Astyanax mexicanus: one gene and its partner. The protein of the gene in region 2 binds, or shares a complex with, the protein of the main gene of each other region. Links are inferred from orthologs where the notes say so. Each region holds a gene or a part of one and is shown on either strand. Other genes may lie near its edges. The genes, in order: norrin and fzd4.

Region 1 (9,851 bases), on a different chromosome or scaffold from region 2:
GTAAATGCCTTAAAAAGCATTGATAATCAGTTATAACACATACGCAAGAAGGGCAACAATATAGATGGCTGTGGGTTTACTATTTGGCAAACAACAGGTCATTGTTGCCCTTTCTATGTATTTGTATGATTATTAATGATTTTTAAGGCGTTGGCAACCTAATCAATTATATTTAATAAACTTATGTATAAACCATTTATAAACCCTTTATAAGGGTAGTCTTATTTTAAAGTAGTACCAATAATTCTCAGTGTACTTAACTACAATAAATTTTCAGTAAATTGTTACTTTCATGCATTATTCAATTATATTTTACCCAGTGTATCTTGTAGATTTTACTACATGTAAAATGTAGCGCCACATTCTCCCATGGCTTTTATTATTTACTTAATAGTAGTAGTAGTCATTTTGAAATTCTTTAGTAATGCTTACCTGTCAAATATTTTATTTATTGTAGTATTAATTTCTGTAAGTGCTAATACATGGCATATAATAAAAAAAACAACAAACTCTTACAATAAAGTTTTTATAACAACTTGAAAATGTTTTGTTGTTTTGCCTCAAAAAAGATCTATCTTTTAACCAAATATTCAAGCTTGTTACTAAATATTACTTGCTGCAACCAAAAAAAAGATGCAACTTCCTGTCTTTAAATTGGTTTCAAGATAAATGTCCCAAAGTAGTAGTTTCTTGATGGTCGCACCACATGATATTCTATAAACTTGAGATCGTCGGACAAAGTTTGCTTGTATATTTCAATGGAAATACAATTACAAATGCTTTGCAATTTTATACAGGACTAAAAAACACTTAGAAGATCAATGCTGATTGGAAATCAGTGTTCTTGTATACAGCTTTCAGATAAAATTAATAATATTTAAACATTAAGCATCCAAACTAACCTATTGTGGTTACTTACTTTTAAGAAAATATTTTAACTCCTCTAGGGGTCATAATTTTTAAAGAAATTTGGTGCATTTATAGACCTAAGAGCATAGTTATATGATTTATGCTTTATAAATCCATGTGATTTACAGTGGGGGGAGAAAGGTTTTGATTTTCCACACAGCGGTTTTCTCTCCATCTTTTAGGCAAAAGTTTGCGGACAGAGCTCTGTTAGCTAAATACATTTTGCATTCTACCATTTAGCCAAATGTTTTTCACCAAAGGCTTGTAGGCACAGCTCTATTAGACTGATGTACTTGCATTTTACCAATTAAACAAATGTTTGTGCCTCAAACATTTGGCCAAAAGTATTTGGACGCAGTTCTAGCACAGTTCTATTAGCCATTTAAGCATATTTGCATTCCAGCATTTTAGCAAGAACTACACTCTCTAGATTTTTCTTCTTTTAGTATATTCTTTCTTACTCCCTTTCACTTTATTAAATTGTTATATTAATATCCTCTTAGCATTTGTAATAAGGTTCTGGATGCAGTGCAATGTTCTGTATATTCTGGAGTCTCTAAATTCACCTGAAACCACAGATTGGACAACCTGCTGAAATCAATATGGACTTCTACAGCTCCAGATCGTGGTGAGTTGGATGTAAAAAGGTGAGATTTTAATATTTATGTTCATGAGAAAGTTGTGGTATACGGTGCAGCTCAGCCCAAAATCTCCAGACGCTCACACCTACATGTTTCTACAGGATAAAAAAGAGGCGAACCTGAGAGGACTCCACTTGAGAAAGACAACTTTGTGAGGAAACCTCTGCAAAAACCATTTTACAGTTCTGCTGAGTGACTGAGTGAGTAGCTGCTGAAATATTATTTCAGCCCCTCTCTCCATGAAAGTAGACGGTGTCATAGGTTTTGTGAATATATTACCCATTTAATGACTCAATCTCATGAAATACTAAAGAGACACAGGGGGCCAGGTTTATAAAACGCTTTGGTGCTACAGTGTGTGAAATGTGGTATTTGGTATATGGTATTTGAATTATTGTTGGCCATTGACTTTTTACCATGGCTCAGTAAACTGTTAGTCAAAATCATTGTATGAAAAAGCCCAAGCATAAGTTGGTCAAAACTAAGGTTTTATTCTTTGTCTTTCTATGAATATTCAATTTAAGCAAAAAAAGTATCTATATTTGTCTTTAATTTTACTTTTCATTATTTTTTTAATGAAATTAAAAGGTAGACTAAATGCAAATAGATTTTATTACCTGACAATAAACTTAACAAAGTAGAGTTATTGTGCAAAAAAACATAAATTTAGGCAAAATAAATAGTCACATTAACATTGATTATGAATGTGAAATCCTGTCTCTGTGATGTAACAGTACTGTGAATCTAGCAGAGTTCTTTATAAATCAGCCTCAGTGGATAGAAAAGCATCAATCATGTAATCGTATACTCTGAATGAAGAGTGCTGCTAGTGGATCTTTAAAAAGCGAGAGTGAGTTTTCAGTGTGAGGTCCAAAGAAGCCCTTGCAGGTAATTGTGTTTCATATACTTTTGACCCTTTAAGCCCTACTTACCCAGAGCAGCTCGCCTGTAATTTCCCCTGAGGTTTCAAATTTTTCTGAACCAGTTTTTGAACAATCATTGATTGATTTAAGCCCGGACTACACAGCATTTTTGCCTTGCAGAACATTATCCTCACATATCCTTAACAAGTCTATATTTAAACCTTTTTTTTGGGGGGCTCCAGCGTGGAATAGTCAGCCTTTCATAGTCTAGTTTTTTCCCTTTACAAAGCTGAATGAAAACTGCTGAAAGAATGTCTGAAAAAGCAGACCTCTGAAGTGGGAAGAATCTGATTATCAGATATTTCTGTCTTACAGGGTTTCAGTTCACTCTTGGATTGAGTCCACACCTCAATCTGAAGATTACACACTCCCCCCGTGCCAATATTTGCGGTAATTTAATATGCCCCCCCCCCCTTTCCCCACCACGACTGACATTTTGAATTGTTGGAGGTATTTGCCTGAAAAACATGGAAAACAAAAATCCCACCAAAAATTCTCTGTCTCTGTCTGAGATGTAAAACAGCAATTATGTCTTCTTTGTGAAATCTTAATTATACAGTAAGGTTGTCTTTTTTGTCATTCAAGTGAACACATTCCACAAATAATTACTGGTTATACAAAAATCTAATTTTTTTTTATAATACTTAGTGGGTGGTGTTAATGTCTTCTGTGGTTATAGACATTATGTTGCAATTTTAACAAAAGGGATTCAGGTTGTTTCAACAAAAGGTACAATTAAGGTGCCAACAAGTTCTTTGGATGATATTTTCTTCAATGTAAAGAACCCCCACAGTTTTAGGGTTCTTTAAGACCCTCAGCGATGTGTAGTCCTTATACGTTCATACTTTTGAGTTTATATGCTGTAATCTGTATGTGCTCTATAGAACTGCACTATGAGATGCCAAATGTAATTTAACATGAGACTAGTATCATGTCCAACATCTCATTTAAGCTAAACATAAACATAACGCAATGATCTGTGTCACTTGTCCTATGTTGTACACATGGACAGTTCTATCCAGATGCCACCAGTCACCATCATTGCCTTCTTTAACACTGTGGATCAAGGACAACTTTGAAAAGGAAAGGCCTATTACACTCTAAACCCAATTAAGTCTGTTTTATATAAATTGAATATTGTCAACAACATTTGTGGCCACATATACTGTACATTCAAACATAGATCTTTGAGTTGAATCAATTTATAATAACTTATTAGATTATTATTTTCCATTGGCCACTTTTGTTTTTGTATAGGCTTTTGGCACAAAAAAGTCCCCCAGTTTCTTACCCTAATGATCAGGGTGTAGATTAAATTGTAGATCACATATTGTGAATAAGTGCCTGGCCTTTATGTTGTAGGCTGTAAGAGCAAGCATCATTTTATAAGCTGCTGTACTAACTCTACTGTTCACTCTAAAGAATGTTCTTTCTCTTTCTTTCTTTCTTTCTTTCTTTCTTTCTTTCTTTCTTAATCTAAGTAAATACAGCATCTATATTTTACTTAAAGCCCCACTAGGTAGAACTTCCTTGATTTTTAATTTTTTTAAAGAAATAAAATTACAGCTTGAAACTCACTGCAGCGCTGCATTGAGGTGTAATAGGACGAATAGCAGTACTCCTCTGAGCTCAAACCAGACTCTGTAAGTCTTCCAAGGCGGCAGCCACCAACGCTAATGAGAACTGCGACCTGCTTTCCGACCTTTAGTTCTAACAGTTCTACAAAGACTACTGGTTCATTCTTTACAAACTAACATACAGAAACTCTGGCAGAAGGTGAAAAGGGACCGAATATGTCTGTGTAATCCGCCTGAAACATTTATTACACTCTGCAACTGTAAGGGGAGCCCACGAGCACAAAATCTCAATCCTACCTGGTGGAGCTTTAAATAAATGTGAGAAGTAGACACATATAAATCTATTTTGTTACCTGATAATGAACTTCAAGTTGCAAAGCAATTGAAATTACAATTTACAATTTAATTACCTTACAGTTTAGACATTATAACTAAAAGTGAAGTTTAATTCTCAGTCCAACTCAGTGTTGGACTGCCAGTGTTCAACCTCACTCACAAGATATCACCTGACAACTTATACTTTTAGTTACTTAGTGTGGCTGGTTTAATTTTTTTCTCTCCCTGATATAAAACACTTGGTCATGATCAATTGACTCATTCACTTTTGGCCTTACTTTAAAAAAGGGTTTGTTACGCTATTAAAAAGCGAGCCAACACAGCAATTTGTTGTTATGCCCGAGGCAGTAGACCTTCAGTGTACTTTAAATCCTGCTGCTAATTAAATACACTCGATGCCCCACTTGTTGTTTTTTTTCTGTTACGCTGAGAAGCTGAAGTTTTCCCTCTCCTCTGACGTGGGCTGTGTTAAATTGACACGCACCTCCTAAAACCCCTCGGTGACCCTACTGTAAGCTGGGGGACCGCAGGTGCTGCAGTTATAAAGCTGGGGGACCAGTTGTTTTTAAATAAACTAATTCTGCTAACAGTTTTATAACCCATAGCTCGTAAAAGAGGGCCGGGCTTTTGCTGTGCTCTCTGATTCTACAACCATTCCGAAGCTGGAATCCCCATTTGCTTTGCGAGAGCGTGTTGGTGTGTCAGCTGGAGGGTGTGTGTGTGTGTGTGTGTGTGAGAGAGAGAGAGAGAGTAAGATAGAGTGTGTGTGTTGTGTGTGGGTTCTTGAGGTGATATATGACTGCTGTGTCACGTTCCACATCTGACAACCATCCTGAGACGTGCATCATCTGTCCTTTCCCTTTTCCCTCTGATTCCTCTATACAGAAAAGAAAAAAAAAAACGAGGGGTGTGAATGTCAGCACAGCAGAGGAGGAGGGGAGGGGGAGCAGGGAAAGAAAGAGACAGAGAGAGAGGGAGAAAGAGAGAGAGGGAGAAAGGGAGTCAGAGCTCACACAATCAGTGTGCGTGAGAGGGAGAGTGAAATAGAGAGAGTGAAGAGGGAACGAGGGAGGAAAGGAGAGGGAGAGAAAGGAGAGGGAGAGAGTGAGGGATAGAAAAGGGGGTTTAAAAGCAATTTCAGTGCTGCTTCAGTCCAGTGAGGTGCAGCCGGGGCTGGATATTATATTGAGAGCTGGAAGGAGCTGGAGAAAAGGTAGGTGAGCTTACTGTGTGGATCTAAAGGTGACACAGGGTGTCAAATGAGCTACCAGGTTGTTTCACTGTGATGTTTAAACTGTCGTTCTTTAGGTTTTGTAACATAGTCTAGATCCTAGGAATGGACTGGTGTGATGGGACAGCAAATAGCAGACGGATGTGTTGCGTAACATGTTGTTCTAATTACCTGAAAAGTTGTACGTTGTGCATTGTTATTGCAGTCCTGCCTCAGAAGGTCTATGCTTGTTCTGTGTAAAAAGCAGGGACACAATGAATGTTCTTGATTCCAGGTAAATGATGAATGAAACATATCATATATTTGGTTTTGGCTGTAACATTTGGCTGTAAAACTGTGGTTGATGTATTATAATTTATTACTTTTATATTAAATCAGGTAATCCACTCACATTATCCGTTCTGTATTCTGTCAACAGAGGAAAAGAAACGCTCTGTTATTCTTGGTATTCTTGGTGGTTTTGATAACGCACCATTGCTCAACACCTATCAGCACCTTGGTCAGGCTTTGACTTGACAATTTTACGCACTGCAAGTCATTAGAATCTGGTTAAAGGCACTGAGCCTAGGGCAGGTTCATGGTATGCGCGCCTGATGAGAGGCGCAGTGTCTTCTGTGGTGGGTCGCCTGCCGAGACGAGCCGCCGTAGACAGTGCATTCACTGACTGAGCATTCATGGCTTAATTCCATACTGAACCCGCTGCTGCAGTCATTGGATCACACCACAGCATCAAATCCCGAGTCCTGGGATTGTTTATTTATTATGGACTTGTTGGAGAATGAGGTGGAGGTGCATGTGGGGAGCTTCCCCTCGTACATTTGAACACTTTAAGACAATACCTTCCGCCTGGTGCTTTCTGGTGGGGTTAGGTTTCACATAATCGCTTTCTTGTGAATGTATCTTAAAAAAAACACGTAAATTAACCTTCTAAAAAACGCAGAAAAGTATCCAGATATAAAGGGAATACTCAGAGAGTGAGTCAGCTCAGCTCAGAACAAAACACAGCATGGGGAGGAGGTTTAAGAGGACATCCTAATAAGTTCCCCTAATTGCCGAACACGTGTTTTGGGACTCAACTGCTGCAGCATTCCCAGGCCCCTTTATACTTTTATTGTCTTCTTAGAATGTGATCTGTTCTAAGAAGCCTAAATTGTAACGCTAACATTAGCTTAGCATGGGCTCTCAGGGTCCGCTGCCATTGGTCGTGGGCCACGCTCAAATCCACACTGTTTGTCTTATCTTTATCACGCGGGATATATTTAGTGCATGGCTTAGCCATTGGAGTAAGGGAGGCGCGGGCTGGTGGCATCAAAGCGTGGTGGCAATGCCCCTGCTCAGGGCTGGCATGCTGCTTGGGTGCAGACGGGGTCCAGGAGGAGAGCGTGGAGGGGGGCTATTTGGCCCCTGTAGGAATCTGCCCTTTGGTTTATTAAAAGCTGGTGAAACAATGGGGCACTAAGTGAGCACCAAACATTGACGTAAGGCGCGAACATAAGAGGAGGCATGACAGGCTGACGGACAGGAGACACACTGGACACAAGACAGGACCAACCCGCACAGCAACTGAAGGGCTGCTTCATTTACGTTCAAAAGAATTGACAGAATTACAGCCAGAGTAATCAAACAAAAGTGTAACATTAGCACTGGAGAGCATCAAAAGCATTCCTGAACAGTGCTGAACAGAGTCGGCAGCTTCATCCAACGCTATTCCAGTCTGTAATCAGCATTCACCAGAACAGTTACCGGCCTGAAGAAAAGAAGAATGAAGAGTTCTCTAGAATTTCTAGAATGATTAAACCCACCAAGGTACATCTGGAGGCAACTCTGAGACTTTGTCCTGGATTACCTGGAAAATCTGCTCCCAACCGAAATAAATTACTTGAAAACGGCAATGCTGAGGCAACCATAGCTAATAACTTGGATTCCACGGTCTCCCTCTTCTTCTTTCTACCTTATCCGACCTCTCTCTCTTATAGCTCGAGGCACATTTCAGTCTGAAAATCCTTCTCAAAATGACAGTCTGTGCTTTAGCTTATGCAAGGAGGAGAGCAGCGATGAGAGCCAGAGACAGGATGACATGCTCCAATATCAAGAGACTACCTGAGGTCCCTTGAGTTCCTCAGAAGCATGTGTGTGTGAGCTCGGGTGGAGGAAAAACCACCGTATCACACGTGATGATGTCCAGACTTGGCTATGGTCAGAAAGCCCTTTTTTTTGTTCCCAGAATGAAATAGGCTCTGCGGTTTTTAATGGTCAGATTGAGGCCGAAAAGTTACACTGAATTGCTCCCAACCTGTGGCTGTGATTGAATGTCAGGAATTTCGCAGTTCCAATGCTGCAGACGTCCAGGCCCCTTTACCAGACCTGAACCAGATTAATCAAAAAGAGCTATGCCATGTTTTCACAGGGCCATGCCTGGTGACAGTCCAGTCTGGGGGTCCACACACTGGCATCATGCCTGGTCTGGATCCTCTGGGATCACGGCAGGACTCTGGGTGACTGGGCTTTGCCTGGAAGCACCACGCACACCAACACTTCTGGAGTGTCTCACTCACCCTTGGCTCCTGCCCTTAGTTTTAAATGTTTATTGCTTTTTCGTCCCTTGGAACGGTTAGCTTAGCACATGTTTCATAATGAGACTCTTGACTAGGTACTTGTTTAAAAAAAGGAGCAATGAAAATATAAAGGATCCTATTGTATTATTTAAATTGAAGATTAATTTAAAAATGTATGTCTAATTAATCAGTTTTTACAGCCAAATGTACTGCCAGCAAAGCCATTACCGTGATCAAATGTGAAAAAAAGGATTTGAATTGTTTGTTCATTGATTGAGATAAAGAAGCATTTTTTAAATCCAGAAGGCTCTGGCTGTAGTTCTAATGAGACGTCTAATTAAAGGAAACATTTGAGTACATTATTATGAACGAAGCGGCCATGTTTGCCAAAGTGAAACCGGACAACAAGTTCAGCAACCGTTACGGCTCAAACCCTTCAAGGGTAATTTAGGAGCTCGTAAAACAAAACAAAGCAAAACAAAAATATGAGTTTGCAAGTCCAGAGTGGGATATGTGTAGCTGTATTGGAGAGAGAAAGGGTGGAGGTGGACAGGGTGGAGGCATGCTGCTGTGCTGCTGTGCTGCTGTTGTTGTGTCAGATGGGGGGGATCGGAAGTTCCAGCTGCTGTTTGTGGACACACTGGGCTCTATAAATCTGTGAATCTCAGCAGGTGTTGAGGCTGCAGCGGTGCCCTACCTAACCTAACTGCCTCCCTGCCCCAGGGCAGTTCCCTGCAGGGGTGAGTGAGGGGTTGGGGTGGAGCATCCACAATTGCACATCATAACCCCCCACCCCAACTCCAACTCAACTCCCCAACGCTGGAAGCCCCCAGACTTAGCTGATCAGGCGGCTGTGCATGACTGTACCATGAGGTCATTCTCTTGTTTTTACGAACTCTATTGGAATCTGTAGTCACCTTGTAAACAGGGATGTCTCTCGCTACATTGTTCAGCCTGGTTATTATGACCGTGAATCAGGCCTTGAACAAAGCAGCCCTTTTCTCGCACTTCTGAATGTCAACAGTCATGTCTGGGCGTGATGATGATGGTGATGATAACCGTTATCATGCCCGGTATGCCTGATATGTTGATATTAAACAAATGATGGAGCAGAGAGCATGATGCATCTGGAGCATCCAGGTTAGGAGCAGACCCGGCGATGTCTGGCTGTGTAAACCCTGCAAACACAAGCCCTCTGGAGCCGTTAAACATTTCAGAGAGTATTTATTTTAACAGGCAAATTGATACTTCAATTTCTTGCACAAAGGAATGCTGAAGTTAAATGATTCCCTCCAGAAAGAAAAACATCAGGGGTACGCTGTTAAATGAACTTGATGTGTTTGCGATTTCAGGACAAATTAGGGGTCTCTGAGAAACATTCTGGGACGAAAATGAAGGGAGGGAAAAAGTGCAGTAGAAAGGTTTTTGACATAATGCAGCGTATTGGATTTTTTATGAATGATAATTTCCTCTCCACAAAAGAGCCTGATCCTAGCTCTAGGTTTCTGTTCCCTTCAGGGCTTGGGGGGAAAGAACCTTGACTAGGCTTTCTACCCAGTGCTCCACAAAGCTTATTAGCAGTTGTGGCTTGGTGATTTTAGATGAATACTATTGTCAAGAGGACAATAAAAGTGCATGGACCATGAAAAAAAGAAGCAAAGCCCATTTATATATGTGCT
Region 2 (10,068 bases):
ATTCAAAACGTTTTTGACTGTTTTTAACACTAAAGCCTTTATTTCCTGATATATAGTCATATCTAAAATCTGTGTGATTACTGTATATTCTCAAGTTATACGCATACTGTATGCATTCATCGTGAATACACTTACTGTATACACACACTGTAAACACACAAATATGCATTTACTTTATGCAGCCACTGTATACACACAGTTTACAGATATTGCACACTTTGTATACACAAAGTATCGGTACAGCATCTCAAAAAAAATCTGTACACCCCATATTTGTAAATATTTAGTGGGCAACACTATAGATCTTTAGATGTTTGCTAACTCTTTGATGTAAAGTAGTCTGTGTACAGCTACAGGATAACAGTGTAAATTTACTGTGCCCTCAAAATAATTCAACACACAGCCATTAATGTATAAACTGCTGGCAACACAAGTGAGCACACCCCTAAGTAAACATGTTCAAATTGTGCCAAATGAGCTATTTTCCTTCCCCAGTGTCATGTGACTCATTAGTTTACAAGGTTATTTTTTTGGGTTCAATTATCTCACACTGGCCACTGGATATTTAACATGGCACTTTCTGAGATACAGCACAATGGCCAGGGTTATACAGCAGTTTTCCACTCAGAACAGGCCTCCCCAAGTTCAACCAAATAAGCTGTTTTCACGTGTTAATAATAATATCCATTGGCTGTTTGAAAATTGATGTATAAGTGCTGCCAGTATTGCTGCAGAGCTTGAAGAAGTGGGAGGTCAGCCCGCAGACCATACACCACAAACTGCATCAACTCTGTTTACATGGCAATGTCCTAGAAGGTAGCCTCTTCTAAAGCTGATGCACAAAAAAGCCTGAAACAGTTTGCTGAAGACAAGTAGTTCAAGAGCATGGATACTGGAATGTGTCTTGTGATCTAATGAGATCAATATTAATTTGTTTGGCTCAGATAGTGTCCAGCATATGTGGCAGTATCCTGGAGAGGAGTACCAAGCACTGTGCCTTGCTCACAGTCAAGCATGGTGGTGGTAGCATCATGGTCTGGGGCAGCTTGAGTACTTCCAGTGCTGGGGATCTAAATTCCAACATATACTGTTCCTACCTTCAGTAACTGGTAACGTGATAATGACTCCAAACATACCTCCAAGATGACAACTGCCTTGCACAGGAAGCTAAAAGTAAAGGTGATGGACTAGTATGTATGTATGTCTCCAGACATAAACCCAACTGAGCACCTGTGGGGCAACCTCAAGCAAAAGGCTGTAGAAGTGCAAGGTCTCTAACATCCACCAGATCCTTGATGTCATCAAGGAGGTGAGGAAAAGATTCCAGAGGAAACCCGTGAAGCTCTGATGGAATCCATGCCCAAAAAGGCTTTGGGCGCCATTTCTGCCATTTTCACTTTTATTTTCACATAAATGGCTGTGTGTTGAGTTATTTTAAAGGGGACAGTACATTTACATGAGAGGTGTACTCACTTTTGTGAGACTGTATATACTCTGTACACTCTATACACACATCACACACTCTGTATACAACAGCAATGTAAACACTGTATACACCAACTGTATATACTTTTAATTGATATACACACCTTACACAAATTAATATTAGTGTCCAGTCAAACAGTACAACATCATTAATAAATATGATTTGATTTTAATTTGATAAAATAATATGACTGACTTCACTTCACTTAAACAAATATCTGTATGCCATTAATGAATGGCTTTGAAATATAATAAATCAAGCTTCTATAGCTAAACCATCAACAGCATAATTATATCAGATTCTAATGCACAGACAAAACTATTTTAAAAAATCAGCAGTGTGGCCTGTACAAAAGCTTGGGCAACCTAGGATTTGTTTTTTGTCAAGGTCTTAGAACAAGATAAGCAAATGAATGCCAGATGCACTTTGTAAAACAAATGCTGTAGACCGGTGAAGTCAGAACTATTTTGCCACAATCAGCATAGGTACATTTTAAAGAAAAAATTAATAACTTGCCAACTGTGAAGCATGGGGGTGGATGTATCATACTTTGTGGTTGGTTGTTGATTTGGCAATATTGCACAAGTAATGGGGATTCAGTTGCTGAAGTGTTCGGAAACTAGAACTAGAGGCCTAGAGGTTGGAGAAATCTCCAACAACAGGAACTGAAAGAGTATCAGCCACAGAAAGTATTAACAATAAACATGGTCAATAAATACACTACACTTATAGAGTTATTCTAAACTACAGTAAATTTGATTAAACAGTTTTGCGAGTGAAATGCAGAGTGTGTGTGTGTTCAGGGGAGTGTACTGACTAGAGGAAATGTCGGATTTTCACTGTGGTCATTCCTAACCGCTGAGGGAAACTATAATCCAAACACACAGACACATATACACACACACACCTACACCAAACTCGTGCAAGCTGCAGACACACTGAAGTCAAAACAGAGATAAACACCCTAAGTAAACACACACACTAATAAACACACACTAGAAATAGTTACTTACTTACATAATTAGATATTAACATATATAATAAATATAGAAAATATTATTGTTAAATATTGTTTCTGACTTACATATTATTAAAATAATATATTTTTGTAAACACTTAATTACTTATTTTTTTTATAAATGGGTATATTATTAGTACATATAGGTACTTACATATATACATTATATACAGTACAAGACAAAAGTTTGGACACACCTTTTTTCCACCTTAAATTCAGTGGTTCATTATTTTTCTGTATTGTAGATTAATACTAAATTAATCCAAACTATGAAAGATGTTATTATTTAGTAAACAAAAAAGTGTTAAATAAACCAGAAAATGTATTATTTTAACATTCTTCAAAGTACTTGCTAAGATGATAGCTTTGGACATCTCTGCATTTTACCAGTCAACTTTATGAGGTAGTCACCTTAAATTTCACCTTAAAAAGAACTCTGAAAGTATCTTAAAGTGCATTTGCAAAGACAATCAAAAACGTTATGATGAAACTGGCTCTCATCAGGACCTCCACAATACTCCTTCACAAGAAAAGGCCATCAGAGTTTTTAGACTCAGAAACCGCAAGTTAACAGTACTCCAGATAAGAGCACCTGAATGCTTCACAGAGTATTTTGGTTTGTTTAACAGTTTGAAGTTACTGCATGATTCTTTATGTGTTCCTTTATAATCTGGATTACAATATAAGAAAAATAAAACTTTGAATGAGAAGGTCTGTCCAAACTTGTGAATGAATTATCTAGTATATGTACAAATATGTTATGATTACATAACGGTAAATGAACTTACTATATAATACACTATATATTATTGCATATAGGCTTTGACATGTGTATATATATATATATATATATATATATATATATATATATATATATATATATATATATATATATATATATATATATATAACACGTTACTTTAGATGATTTATTATCCAATATTGGATATTTGTGGGGCAATGTGTAACCCCATGTCCAGTGTGTGTGTGTGTGTAGTCATCGTACCTTCAGCTGGCTGGAGCAGCCGTACTGTATGAGCGGTGTGAAGGTCTGGAGCTGCAGCTCCGCGTCCGCCTGCAGCACGTTCCCCACCAGGTTGGGCATGCGCGTCTGATTGTATCCCAGGTCCAGACACATGGCCATGCGAATGGGCTCGCAGCGCGCGTCCTCATCCACACCGAAGGCGCGCGCGCGCCCGCTCCCCAGCGCGAGCAGCAGCAGCGCGAGACCCGCGGGGGCAGCGCGAGCCATGAGGATCACCGGGCAGCACGAGGAAGCAGATCCACAGATAAACACACAGACTATATATACACTAAACACTCTATAAACACACACACAGCTCACACCCCGCGCGCTGTAGCTCTACTCTCCCCCGCGCGCTCCTGATCTTACTCTACTACCCCACTCTCTGCGCTCGAGCTGGACAGAGGGTAGCGAGGGGCGGGGCTATTGACCAGGGGCGGGGTTAGCAACTGTGATAATAACTGCACTGGGCGGGGCTAGGGGCGGGGCGAGAGGGAGAGAGAGACGAATAAAAGGAGTGAGCGAGCGCCAGAAAGAAAAGAGACAGGCAGAGAGAAAAAGCGACTAAAACGACAGAGACAGAATAAAAGAGAGACTGGCAGAGAAAAAAGGAAAAAACGACAGAGACAGATTAAAAGAGACTGACAAAAAAAACTAATAAAACGACAGAGACAGAATAAAAAATACTGACAGAAAAAATAGAGATTAAAACAACAGAGAGAATAAAATAGACACAAATAAAAAGAATGAAGGAAAGAGAGACTGAATGAGAAAAATTGAATAAAATGACAGAGACAGAATAAAAGAGATTTGAATAAAAAGACTGAAGGAAAGAGAGACTGACAAAGTAGAAGAGAGACTGAAAAAGAAAAAAGTGTTGAGTGTGGAAAAAGGAGGTATAAAATGAGAGACTGACAGACTGAAGGAGGGAGACAAGCAGTAAAAGAGGATAGAAAGTGATAAAGAGGGATAAAGTAGGACTGAAAGATTGAGACCAAAAAGGGAGAGAGAATAGGGAAAAGAGAGGGATAAAAGGAGGGAGGGAGTAAAAGGAAAAGTGAGAAAGCAAGAACAAAAGAGAGACAAAGATAATAAAAGAGGAGAGACATTAATTATAGAAAAGGTGAAAGAGGAATTACAAGACTGAGAAGCGAAAAATAAGTAAAAATGAGAGAGTGACTGAAAGACACATAAACTAAAAGAACAAAATAAAATTGAAAGAGGGAAAAAGGAAGAGAGAGCAAAGAAGAGTGAAATAAGGAGATGAAGGGGAAGACTAAAAGAGAAATAAAAAGAAAACAGGAAAAAATGTGTCAGAGGATTAAAAGGAGAGAGAGCCTTAAAGTCGAGTAAAAGGAGAGACAGAAAGAGAGATGTGTAAGAATAATGAAAGGAGAGAGAGTGAATGAGGGAAGGAGAGAGAAATGTTGAGGATGTATGGAAAAACTGAGAGAAAAATCGATAGATCTAAATATACAGAGAGAAATCCGGGGTGTGTGGGGCGGAGCCTGTTCTGGAATGTAAACTCTTGTTTTTGTTTACTGTTTCTGTCAGGAGCCTGAGGGCTGGTCAGATCCTCACAGATAACACTCACACTGACCTCTGACCTTTCTAACCCGGCCAGAGGAGGGACACAGTCCACCCTGTGTTTGTGTGTGTGTGTGTGTGTGGAGGTGGGGTTGGAGGTCAGTATCCGCATCAGTGGGCTTTTAGTGTCCCCATGGTTTAGTCTGTGGTAAAACTCAGTTGTGCTGCAGCAGGCGTGTTAAAAAAAAAACTAAGAATAAAAAGAAATATGGATTATAATTATAATTTGAGTTCTCACTGTGCCACTTTTTAAGGTCATTCTGTCCCAAAGTCAGTCCCAGCTATTCCCCATAATCTGCACAAAGAGATCTCATACAATAGCACTACCACCTTCATGTTTGCAAGGGTGGTTGGGAGATAGGCTTTTTTCAATTCCTATCTAAATCAAAGTGAGTTTCTTGAAGAAGACCAAGTTTATCTATGAAAAAATTAAAACTAAACCACATGCAAAAAAACTCATTTTAATTGAAATGATCAAATTCAAAGTCAATAAATCTGATGTTTTTTTCTGATATATTTTTTTTCCTTACTAAGCATTATGTAAGATAGTTTTGCTTATTGTATGGATACTTTCTTATTTAGAATTGTGAACCTATTTTAAGTAATTTGAACACAAAACACAGAGTTTCTTTTGTTCAGATAGAACCCAAAAATTATATTTTTACTCTCTTGACACTAATTTTGAGATGTTTCAATTGATTATTTTAAGAAATCTTACTAAGAAATATTTTCCTACCTCATTGGCAGATTGCCTACCACAAGCAGTTTTGCTTGATATAAACATATATGTCTCAGTTCACATATATTTTGTCTAGCTTTTGATGATTGATTTTTTGCAATGTACATACTGCCTTATTCATATTTTTTTTGTTGACACATTTATTCACACTTGTTTATTCATACAGATTTATTTAAACGAGTTTATTTACACTTGTTAATCCAAGCTAGTTAACCAATACCGTTTATTGACCCTAGCCTCTTTAAACTAGTTAATTCTCATGGGTTTGAGACTTGGCTTGGACTTGTGATCAAAGACTTGAGACTTGACTAAGTCTCACCTCAAAAAGACTTAGGACTAGACTTGGACTCATGACCAAAGACTTGAGACATGGCTTGATCTTGTGACCAAAGTTTGAGAGTTTAGGAATCTTTGTAAAACTAGTTTTAGAGTTAATTTACACAATTTATACAAATTAGTTAATTTAGACCATATTATTTTGATTGGTTTGATCCAACCGTTCTTTTACTCTGCCATGCTAACTGCTACGTTGCTAATGCTATCAGGCAGTTCATGCGTATTTAATAGCCCTGTTGGCTGCAGTAACAGTCAGGATTCACTGATTTACAGACGCAGAAAATACCAGCATGCAGTTTGTTGAACGTAAACTAGAAACTTACCACTGTGTGTGTGTTTATGTGTGTGCGTGATATAAATGTGTGTGTGGTAAACATGCACAGCTGCTGGTGGTGTAATACAAGTGAAAACGAAGCATATTTGAATGGGTAGGATGAAAGAAGAGTGTGTGTGTATGAGGGTGTAAATATGCACTGTTTCATCAGGAGCCACGGCGCCGAGCACTTTCATGTTGCTATGGGGACACACTGCAAAGTTTATTTACATCAAACACAGTGTTGGGCAGCAGCTGCATGTGTACAGTGCGCGCGCGCACACACACACACACACACACATACACACATGCACACACACACACACATTCGAGATGGTTGTCAGACACAAGCTAATTCTGATTCCAGAAATCCTGGAGTTGATCCAGATTAAGAAAATTGATTCCACATAAACATTTTATTATTGTTTTTCGTCTTATTTAATGTTATTCCAAGAAAACAAAATGTTTGTCTTCAGTCTGACCAAACCAATTAATTTACATGGATGCAATAATCCTGCTTAATTCATACCGGTTTATGCACACTGGACCATTCACACTGGACCATTCACACTGATTTTTTAATATCAGTTTATAAAAACTGGATCATTTATACTGATTTAGGTACATTAATTAATTCATAATGGTTTACAAACAATGGGTTATTTACACTGATTTAATAATATTGTTTTATTCATACCAGTTTATGCACAAAAGACCATTCACACTGATTCAGTAATATTGGTTTATTTGTAGCTGTATATGGTTTAAGGGTTTATGCACTCTATGCCATTAATCATTTACACTTAGTAATATTGGTTCATAAATACTTGCTTATGCACACTGGATAATTCACACGGGTTTATTCTCATTGGTTCTTACACAGCACATCATTCCCATTTACTCCCAGTTTCTCCGGTTCATTCATACTGAATCATTCACACTGAGACACTCTTCGTTCAAATGTTGGTTTATTCCAACTATTGCACACTACACTAAAACACACTAGTCTGTTCATTCTGTTTTTTCCATTCAACAGCATTCACACTGAGCATCTACAACCTTTGGTTTCTTCTGGTTTATTCAGACTGGACAATTTATTTTGGATTATGCACATTGGTTTTCTTTTTCTGTACAATTTACTCACTTTGGCTCACTCTCACCAATTCATTCATCCTGTTCACTCTCATTTGTGAAACATGGTGGTGGTAGCATCAGACCACAGGTATTCATCTCTGCGAAAAGCTAATTATTTTATAATTTATCAAGTGAATTGCAGTAGTTGTGACAGACCTATATGTGTGAATGTGTGTGTGGATTTATGTGTGTATTCATGCGACTAACACACTAAGCCTGGGTTTATACGGCTTCAGAACAAGACTGAACTGCCTAAGAGTGCAAATTCCTCCTTCAACACACACACACACATACTCAGAATCCTCACTAAGTAGCTAATACAGTGTATGTATAAGTGCATGCATGCATGAAAAGTGTGTGTGTGTTTACACTTGGCTGTCCATTCGTGTTTTGAGTCACTCAGCCCCACTCAACTGTGCCCAGTAAAGCCAGGAGTGGACATCTGAAACAAAGTGGGTCGTCATTCATAACACCTTCTGAAGTCTTTTGAGATCTTCTGAGATCTTCTGAGACAGACCTAAACACTCTGTAAGATCTTCTGAAAAAGATCCATAGATCCCTGAGACAGATTCACAGACCCCCTGTGACCCGAGACAGATCCATAGAGTTTCTAAGATTATTTCAGACAGATCCAAAGCCCTTCTGAGATCCTCTGAGACAGATTCACAGCCCCCCTGTCACCCAAGATAGATCCTTGGAGCTTCTAAGTTTACCTCAGACAGATCCACAGACCTTCTGAGATCCTCTGAGACAGGTCTAAAGAACTGAGATTCTCAAGATTTACAGTACCTCTGAGACACCTAAGACAGTTCCAAAGACTTCCTGTGACAGATCCACAGATTTCCTGACACAGATCCAAAGATTTTCTGAGATACTTTGAGACATATCCACAGACTTTAAAGCATTCTCAAACAGATATTAAAACCTTCTGAATCTCCCTAAGACAAATCCACTGACCTTTTGATTAAGCACTTGTAGATACAGTGTAACCATCTATAATTAAACACGGTTGTGTTGTTTTTGTGTGGAGTCTGTAGAGTACAATGAAGCCAGGAAGCCTTTGCATGGCTAAAGGAAGTTTTTGTCTGTGCATATCAGATTTGTTTGGGTAAACATCAGTGTCCTCGAAAGCATTTTAGGCTAAAGTGCAAGTATGAGATGCTTAAAAGGACACATCTCTTCTCATTTAATGTGTTTTCTGTCTTTTTATATTTTTAACATTGTAAATTTAATAATGAAGACTATATTAAATCTATACAGAAACTCATGCAGAATTATTCTGTAAACAAAATGTGTTAAACAGAATATTGTTTTAAACAATATGTTTTATAATTTAGATTCTTCTAAGTAGAACAATTATCTTTGAGGACAGATCTGAACACTCTTGGTATTTTAACCTCAGTGTCTTCATTAGGTAGAGTCACCTGGAATAGTTGTCTTAGTATCTTAGTAGCTCATTCCAAATCTCAAATCACTATCTCAGTTTATATCAAGGGATTTTGGAGGACAAATACTTCTTGCTGTTTTTGTTTTTATGTCTTTAATATTAATCTACAATCTAGACAACAAATTGAATAAAAAATAAAGAAACACACTTAATGAGAAGGATTTTTCATACTGTTCCAAATATTTCTGATTTGAAGTTGTTTTTATAGTTGTATCTATATATCTTTAAGTAAGATGTGATCTCAGTGTGTGTGTGTGTGTGTGAGAGAGAAAGAGAGAGAGAGACAAAGAGAGCAATAGAGTGTACTGTGGCCTAAAAGCCTGTAAAAGTATGTGATGTAAAACAAACAGAACTGAAACACACACACACACACACACACTCACTCACAAACACACATACACACACACTGGCTGTAACTTTCCCCTAGTTTAGGGTGTGTGTGTGTGTGTGTGTGTATGTGTGTGTTGGTTGGGGGGTGTTGGGGGATACACGTGATTTATTTGTGCCGGCAGGATGTCCATGTCTTACGAGGCCATACATTATTGTGTGTGTGTGTGTGTGTGTGTGTGTGTGTGTGCGTGCATCTTTGGGGGAAAGTTTGCTGATATAAATGACTTATTCATTCACAGTCCAGCCTGTGGGATCCTCCCGCACATTCTCTCCATTCCTGCCACACACACACACACACATACACACACAGCTTTATCCAGGATTTCTGCTTTTCCTGCCTTTGTGTAAAATCCGTACCAGCCTGACACGGTCAGAGAAAACACACACTCAGCCCTGACCTCCAGAACGGCTCAGAAACACACACACACACACACACACACACACACTGATGTTTGTGCAGAAACAGTCGGGGGTTACTCACTCCTGTGCTCCCTCACTGTGTCAGATTAGATGTAAACATGATCCGCTGGGTTGCAATAGAGGTGGGGGGCCTGTGTTAACGTGCCCCCTGCAGACTGACCACTGTAGTCCTTC

What was found.
Region 1: the proteins of fzd4 (region 2) and norrin are in contact, whole or in part, in a crystal structure (PDB 5BQE), measured with the Homo sapiens proteins. The link is inferred for Astyanax mexicanus from reciprocal best matches to the Homo sapiens genes FZD4 and NDP. Residues at the interface, in NP_036325.2 of Homo sapiens: Ser51, Met52, Gln54, Asn55, Leu56, Gly57, Gln95, Phe96, Met105, Thr107, Lys109, Ile114, Asn152, His154, Met157, Cys158, Met159, Glu160, Gly161, Pro162; in NP_000257.1 of Homo sapiens: Asp33, Ser34, Pro36, Arg38, Met40, Arg41, His42, His43, Tyr44, Val45, Asp46, Lys58, Met59, Val60, Leu61, Lys102, Lys104, Leu106, Tyr122, Leu124, Ser125.

Annotation. Positions count from the first base shown.
Region 1 is NC_064418.1:5,507,620-5,517,470, forward strand, and holds the start of norrin, read left to right. Parts: upstream 1-5,353; 5' UTR 5,354-5,599; intron 5,600-9,851. UniProt on the Homo sapiens protein: Activates the canonical Wnt signaling pathway through FZD4 and LRP5 coreceptor.
Region 2 is NC_064425.1:12,078,486-12,088,553, forward strand, and holds the start of fzd4 (frizzled-4), read right to left. Parts: upstream 3,949-10,068; 5' UTR 3,757-3,948; coding exon 3,511-3,756; intron 1-3,510. UniProt on the Homo sapiens protein: Receptor for Wnt proteins.